Arabidopsis thaliana: one gene and its partner. The protein of the gene in region 2 interacts with the protein of the main gene of each other region in a pairwise test. Each region holds a gene or a part of one and is shown on either strand. Other genes may lie near its edges.

Region 1 (3,756 bases), on a different chromosome or scaffold from region 2:
TTCGAATGAAGAAATCAGACGAAATGTCATTTTGCAGGTACATGATCTTCTGAAACAAAACAAAAATTCTAAGCAAGCTGCAAAACTGAAAGTTTAAGGCTTTAATAAAAAGATTAGAGGACACTATTTGTTCTTCATTTAGAGCAGCTGATAAGGTCTAGAGACGGTAAGAGTTTAGAGAAGGTTTGCTACACAATATGCCTGAGACTTGAGAACCAAAAACCACAAAACCAAAAGTGACTGATCCATCATCATAAGCTTGTGAAATCTTGGAGACAAAATTAATAGCTAAGAGCAGAGAACAGTCCAGAGAAATAGAACCAGGGGGATATAATAGGTAACAAAATAACACCATCAAATATCAGGTTAGTACTCAATGAGATAAACAGAGGTATACAATTATGTGAACACACTACACCATCCCAATTAACAAAATGATAAGAAAAAACTTGAGAGAAGAGCTTCATTTTCAAATGTAATACAACACATCAGTTTCTCAACGAATCAAGAAAGAGTTAACATTGATCAAAAACAGAAACATAAAACACTAACTAGAACAAACACACTCATGACAAATTAAATTACCAATCGGCAAAACATTTAATCAGTATGAATATAAGAAAAAGGTTTGCAGGTTATTCTTCAAAGTGAAACTGCATTATGACTTGACATACAGACTTGTTGTACCTCTAGAAACCAAATAAAGTTTTCATTTTTATGATTCCAAGACATACCAAACCTATCAAATTCTCACCATTTCCCCTATCAAAAATTTCAACAACGACCCGAAAAAGAGTCTGCCAATTAGACTCTTGCAGTCTTCAAATGGGCACATACCGCTTCACAATTTGCTTCCCAGCTACAACAGCTCCAGCCGCAAGTCCACCAAGAGCACCAGCTACAGCTGCAGATCTCACTCCTCTCGCCGCTCTACAAACAGCTCCGGTTCCAAGACCAGCCACCACACTGGTCCAAACATCATCTCTATCCGTGGCAGCCACAATACCACTCTCGATCCCTGCGTAAACCAATCCAATGATACCAATCCGATTACCCCAAGTTCGACCAGTTTGACCAGAAGAGTTCAAGATCCTGTTGATTTTGAGCTTAGTAGTGTCGCCAGATTCGAAGCTTTTGACTCCAGTGATGACTCCAACAGAAGCTCCGGCAACGGAGCCACCGAGGTAAGCTGTTCCGGTGTAGAAAGTGAGATTCTCACCCCAAGATCTACGTTGCCTTAAAGCCTCCTCCGTGAAGAGAAACTCAGGGGAGGTAGGAAGCTTGTAAAGGTACTGAGATTTGTTGATTGGGACTTCGTAGTTTTGGTAAGGATTGTAAAGTCTTGTGTTTTCGTCTGACCCATGATCGGATCTGTTATTAGCCGCCATCGATGGAAGAGAAAAGTCTAGGTTTTAAGGATTTTGGTGGTGGCTAGAGAGAGAGAGACGACGGAGAGGAAAGAGAGAGAGAGAAACGTGTGATGATGTGGTTGTGTTGTGTCTCTCTGAATGTTTGGTTTGGTTGCCGAAATGAGAAATGAAACCAAACTAAACTAAAAATCTATGTTTAGGGTTTTTAGGGAAAGACTCAGTCCAGTTGTTTCCAGATACGCGCAGTACCAGATTCGCTTAATACTCGCGTTTACGTTTATTTCGAACTTAACCCCATTTATTTTATTTTCTCTATTTAAACCCAAGTTGGTTTTCTCTTACCACCACACACTGTATTTGCTGATATTTCGAATGTGACCCCATAAGTTTAATTTTTACAAAATTAACCTCTTCAACATTGGACTTTTCAAAGTCATACTTAATTACTTTGCAAAATTGCAATCCATCGTGACAACCAAACATCCTCGAATTTTCAGGTGTTTCTCTTATAATGTCAGAAATATTTTTACGACGAACGAACCTAATTTTATGAATTTTTTTTGTCATCAGTTTTTATTTAGAGAACTAAACTTCAAATAAAATAATTAAGGATTCAAATACAAAGCTTATTTGTTTTTAATTTAAGTCAAAAGGCCAAAAAAAAAAATTCGATTTAATTTCGAGAGCGTAAATAGAAGACAAAATAAAAAGCATAAATTCGGAAGTAAATAATCGAAAAAGTTTTGCAAACTGGAAACCTCCTCCCGCAGTCACACAACTGCGCAGAGCCAAAAATAAACGAAACCTCCGGCGAAAGCTACGGCGAAGAGACTGCGTCTAACTCCGTTTACACGCCGATTGTCTTGGAGAGAGAGAGAGAGCACGAGGTAAATCACGCAAGGGTTAGATGGGAAACCAGAAACTAAAGTGGACGGCGGAGGAAGAGGAGGCGTTACTCGCCGGAATCAGAAAGCACGGTCCTGGAAAGTGGAAGAATATTCTCCGGGATCCAGAATTCGCTGATCAGCTCATCCATCGCTCCAACATTGACCTAAAGGTTTCTCTTTTCTTCACTCACCTCTTTAAAATCACTCTCGTTGAACCATATATTAAACCTAGACATCGAATTTGAGACCAACCCGGAGTGCATTATGTACTCTGTCGTATCTGCTTAGTTTAAGATCCATAAAAAATCAAAACTTTTGGCAATAGGTTTTATTAGTGTTGCCTCTTATCATTGGTTATAGGATTAGAGATTCCTTGGATAGATTATAAGTTTTTTTTTTTATTGATTCAAGTGTGCAATACCTAAAGCTAGCTTGGTTGAGTTGGAGATTTGAGGTGGAAAGAGTAGTACTGTCCTTCATTTTGCTATGGATTTCTTTTACTTGGTGGTAGTCTTATGAAGAAGAGTTTGAAAATTTTGTGTGTTTCAATACTTAATAGGATAAGTGGCGTAACTTGAGTGTTCCCCCTGGTACTCAAAGTTTAACTAATAAGGCACGGCCAGCAAAAGTCAAAGAGGAAGGCGACACTCCGGCTGCAGATGCAAATGATGCTGTCACTATTCCACGGCCTATTCCTACTATTCCACCTCCTCCCGGTCGGCGTACTTTACCTTCTGAGTTGATCCCTGATGAAAATACAAAGAATGCTCCTAGGTTTGTCTTTCTTTGTTCTCTATTTCTCATACTTGAGGCCAGAAAGTATGATGAGAGACTAGTTCCATAAATGCTAGTCTATCAACTCTGAGTAATAATCTTCATCATGTATTGCTAAACTTCTGATATGTCCCTATTTTCAGGTATGACGGGGTGATATTTGAAGCTCTCTCTGCTTTAGCCGATGGTAATGGATCTGATGTCAGTTCCATTTATCATTTCATTGAGGTTTGACAAATTTCTCTCTGCTATTTATTATGCACAGATCAGAAAATTATATGTGCTCGCTTTGTAAACTACTTAACAGATTATTAGAGACATCATCTATATATGTGGGAGGGATAGTTATGTTATTGGCACGTGTAAACTCTATCTTACATTGACTTGTGCAAATGGCTTATTACTACTATCAGCAATCTTAGATGATTCGTCCTTCTCAAATGAGAACACCGAGTTCTAAATGTAAAGTCTTATACTACTAATTATTTGTACTTTGACGTTTTATAGTATGATAATACTTGTCGTGAAGCTGTCCACTATGCATATCTGAAAAAATGTTAGAACTCTTGATTTTACTTAAATTTGGTCACTTTCTGTTATTCTTTTATCACATTTGGCTATATAATAGCTTTTGTATTGGACCTTACGACTGAGTGCTAACAATGGTTTACTGTGGAAAGAGCAGCCCAGGCATGAAGTACCGCCAAATTTTAGAAGAATCCTTA
Region 2 (3,756 bases):
TTGGTTCAAAAGGCGAAGATCTGCATCCAGACAATAAAGAAACCAATCTCATCATCATCATGACCAACAAATAACTAACTTACATTAAAACATGAGTGTTGAAAAACCGCAAGTAGAAAGAGAACACATTCAGAGACTTACAGAGCCAAGAGTGCATTCCTTTTCCAGGGCCTCCCGCAGAAAATGAGCCACCTCCTCCCATAAGCATCTGATAAGAATTGGATTTTACACAATTAAGTCTTTGCGTTTGAAAGATCAAGTAATGTATTTGAGTCAGGCACCTGAAGAACAGTTGCAATGATAGCTTCCTTCTCGTTATTCCATCCTGGCACTTCAAAAGCAAGCGCAAAATGTGTAGCCTGAGAATGGTGAAACAAAAAAAGAAAGATATTAGGAATAATAAACCTTCTTTTACTCAAAGAAGCCCATTGAAACGTCATATTTGTACCTCTCCACCCGTATGTTGACGGAAATCTCCACCGACATATTGAGACTTTGGCTCCGCAGGTCGGGGTACATTAGGGAGGTCAGATAGTAATGGCTCAACCACTTTTAGAAGTTCTTCATGATCAACTCCACTAGCTGCTAGGACCATTCGTGAAGCAGTGTAATTCTCCTGAAATTTCAGAACAAAATGAGAAAAAAGACACATCTACGAAATAACAAACCAAAAGCCAGTGATACTAGTTCCAGCGAATGCAATAATCTCTTGTGTTAACGGTCTTACAAAAACAAAATTCTCCAAGACCTCCCCAGTCAATCCAGTAATTGCAGATTCAGGTGCATACAATGGATTTGCCAATGCGCCAGAGTAACCAGCAGAATGAACTGCCTCCAAAAGAAAACCCATTGGATTCGTTGCGAATTCTCCTATCTCTACTTTCACCTTTCGGAGCTGCCAGGAGAAAAATGATGAAAACAGTGTAAAAAAATTGCTTAGCTTTAATGTTTGTGAGATACATGCAACATGACATGAAGTACCTCTTCATTCACTTCCCAATCCAAAAAAGCAGGGTTCCTCACACTATCAATAAGCACTTCAACCATTTCGGGAACATAGGTTTTGAGAGCATCAATTGTGTAACCCATCTGCTCTCGGGATGCAGAAGCTGAAGTATTACCTCCAATAGCCTCTATTTCCCTTACAAGGCGAAAATGGCTTCTGTTCAATGTACTCTTGAATGCCATCCTTTCAAGCAAGTGCGTCGCTCCACGGAATTGAGGAGTCTCATAAATAGAACCACAGTCAACGTATAAACCAATGGAAGCTGCTGGATTCTGAACAAAATTTCACTCAAAATCACTTTCCAGTAGTTTTTAACAGGAAGTTGATGTTGGGATTACTAAAAGAAGCTCTCACCGGAGACATCTCAGTGGCTATAGTCAGACCATTTGGAAGAGTAGTGGTCTTAAGTTTGCTAGGCTCAACATGGTCAGAGAGTGGTGGTGGAAGAGAGACACCAGCCAAGGGAATGTTCATAGAAGGAAGTGAACTAGAGTAGCCTCCACTTAGCCAGCTGGAGGAAGAAGAGCTCGTTGCAACAGCACTAGAACTTGCATAACGAGAAGCTCGAAAATTGTGGTTTAGAATGCCCTATAAACACACACACACACACACACATCCTAAGCATCATTAATCTCTTGATTCAATTAACATTGTAAAAATAAGAACTTTCGAAACAGAGACATTTCATAAACCTGCAAAAAGCATGAATAATGGCACCAGCTACTATAAAGCGATAAAATTGAATCAAGATCTATAAGAATCTAAGAGACCCTTTAATCCAAATCCAAAAACAATGAATCATACAAATTGTTCAATACTAAGCATTCTCCTAAAAAAACCAGAATCTCAATGGAAACAAGTGAAGTAGGACATTGACCTTAAGGGCCTTGGCTCGAGAAGCTGCCGTACGGTACATGATGATGACTGCGAAACCCTAGCTTGGTCAGATGAGTACCGGTGAATGTGGCTGACGACGGGAGAGAGATAGAGGCCGAGTCAGAGCTGAAAAGAAACGAGAGAAGGGAACGATTTTTTTTCCTAATTAAGGTTATTGGATCGGGCAATTGCTTCTAATTACATTGATAGGCCCATATGATATAATAGTCTTGGCCCAAATTATAACATATAGAAAAGATGAATTTAAAGCCCATGTATTGTAGTGGTGTGATCCTATTATATTTTCTCTCAATTATATTTTTTTTCTTTTCTTTTTCACGTACCATTGTGTAAAAATTCAAGTAAGGTAACGACATTTACATGCAGTCACAAATGAAACAAGAATTTTTTTGAGGTGTGTGTAAAGTGAAACGAAAAAAGTACTAAGAAAGTTTATCTTCTCTAAGTTAATAGAATTATTTTGAAACGTAGTATCCACATATATAGAAGACTCGTGTGTGGTGCATATATATACTGCATAACTTCAATTGAACTGTATTATATAACTATGACTATCCATCCATGGGAAGATAAGAATGAGAGCCGAATGCTAAAAAGCAAGGGACCCGAATTAAACAAAAATGAATAAAGGAGAAAGGTTTGTGTGATTTTGTCAATTGTCGTCGTTTAGTGGATGTGTAAAAATACTAAATACTATAACAGGTGGTGTGGGTCTATCTTTTTTTTTTTTTGGTCTAATGTTAAATGTGGGTCTATCTTAATAATGCAGAAATAGTGCAATACGATTCATGAGTGGAAAAAATCATATTTGGGTACTCTCATATATAGTCTCATTAATCATTATCACCGAGTGGGGCGTACGATACACTTTTTCTTCTTTATCTGTTTTCATCTAATCATCATACTGTATGTCTATATTATCGTAGCATTCATCATCGAGTTATGAAACTTATGCCAAAAGAAAAGAAAAAAAAATCATTTGAGATTGGTTAAATTTCTATTTTAAGATTTAAACCAAAATGTTTAAAGTTCTATAAGCTCTAATTAAAGTCTCTGCAGTCCATTAAAATGGATAATTAGGATTTGCCGAACTTGAAAGGAGTAATGCACATTTTGATGCTCACGTGAACAACGAGTTGTAACGGTTTCGCTATAATTGGAGGCAGATGAGAAATGGTCGTGTGTGAGTTTTAATACCACGTGATTAACGGAGCCACAATCATATTCATGGGCCATTCTCATGAGCTATAATTTGAGGTGTAGCTGAGAGATGGTCAAATGCCACGAACTTTGAGTATTTCTTTCTTAACTTTGCATTTTTTTAGACGTAAGTTTTTTTTTTCATAGCCTACATTTCTTTGACAACTCATAACCTACATTTTGAGAATTTATAAATGTCAATTTATCATTTAACCTTCTCACGATAATGCAATTCCTATGGTAAATGTCAACTCATAACAGACTCTACGAAGAATCTACGACACTGTGAAAATCTCTAATCCAATATTCAAAAGAGAGTTAAAAAAAAAAAAAAAAAACAGAAGAGAACATCTTTACGATGCTGCTTTCACGATTTTAAAATTTTAGGTGATTTTTTTTGGAATTTTGGAATTCTCTTTACAAATTTTATGTTGTAAGGTAGATTCAATTTTAAAAAAAAAAAGATATTTAGATTAATACAAGTTCCTAAGTCCTAACTAATCAAAGCTTCCATCCCTCGTGAAGCACGAGTTGGTTGAATATAAAGTCTCTCAAAAAGAAAAGAAAAAGTGGTTAGTATTGGCAGAAAAAAAAAGTGGTTAGTATTGGATGAAAAGAGAATTTAATGTTCGTATTCAAAAATGTTTTATATA

Evidence for each region.
Region 1: the proteins of MPPalpha (region 2) and TIM23-2 interact in a two-hybrid assay, tested with the Arabidopsis thaliana proteins (one study listed by BioGRID).

What each region holds. Positions count from the first base shown.
Region 1 is NC_003070.9:27,381,209-27,384,964, reverse strand, and holds TIM23-2 (translocase inner membrane subunit 23-2), read right to left. Parts: upstream 1,601-3,756; 5' UTR 1,410-1,600; coding exon of another isoform or gene 1,389-1,409; coding exon 822-1,388; 3' UTR 441-821; downstream 1-440. Other genes in the region: AT1G72755 (uncharacterized protein), read left to right, coding at 1,147-1,184, 1,382-1,409; AT1G72740 (Homeodomain-like/winged-helix DNA-binding family protein), read left to right, coding at 2,278-2,427, 2,817-3,031, 3,175-3,259, 3,717-3,756. UniProt on the Arabidopsis thaliana protein: Essential component of the TIM17:23 complex, a complex that mediates the translocation of transit peptide-containing proteins across the mitochondrial inner membrane. Links the inner and outer membranes.
Region 2 is NC_003074.8:5,598,072-5,601,827, reverse strand, and holds the start of MPPalpha (mitochondrial processing peptidase alpha subunit), read right to left. Parts: upstream 2,119-3,756; 5' UTR 1,923-2,118; coding exon 1,884-1,922; intron 1,595-1,883; coding exon 1,361-1,594; intron 1,279-1,360; coding exon 982-1,278; intron 896-981; coding exon 728-895; intron 617-727; coding exon 449-616; intron 360-448; coding exon 282-359; intron 209-281; coding exon 142-208; intron 21-141; coding exon 1-20.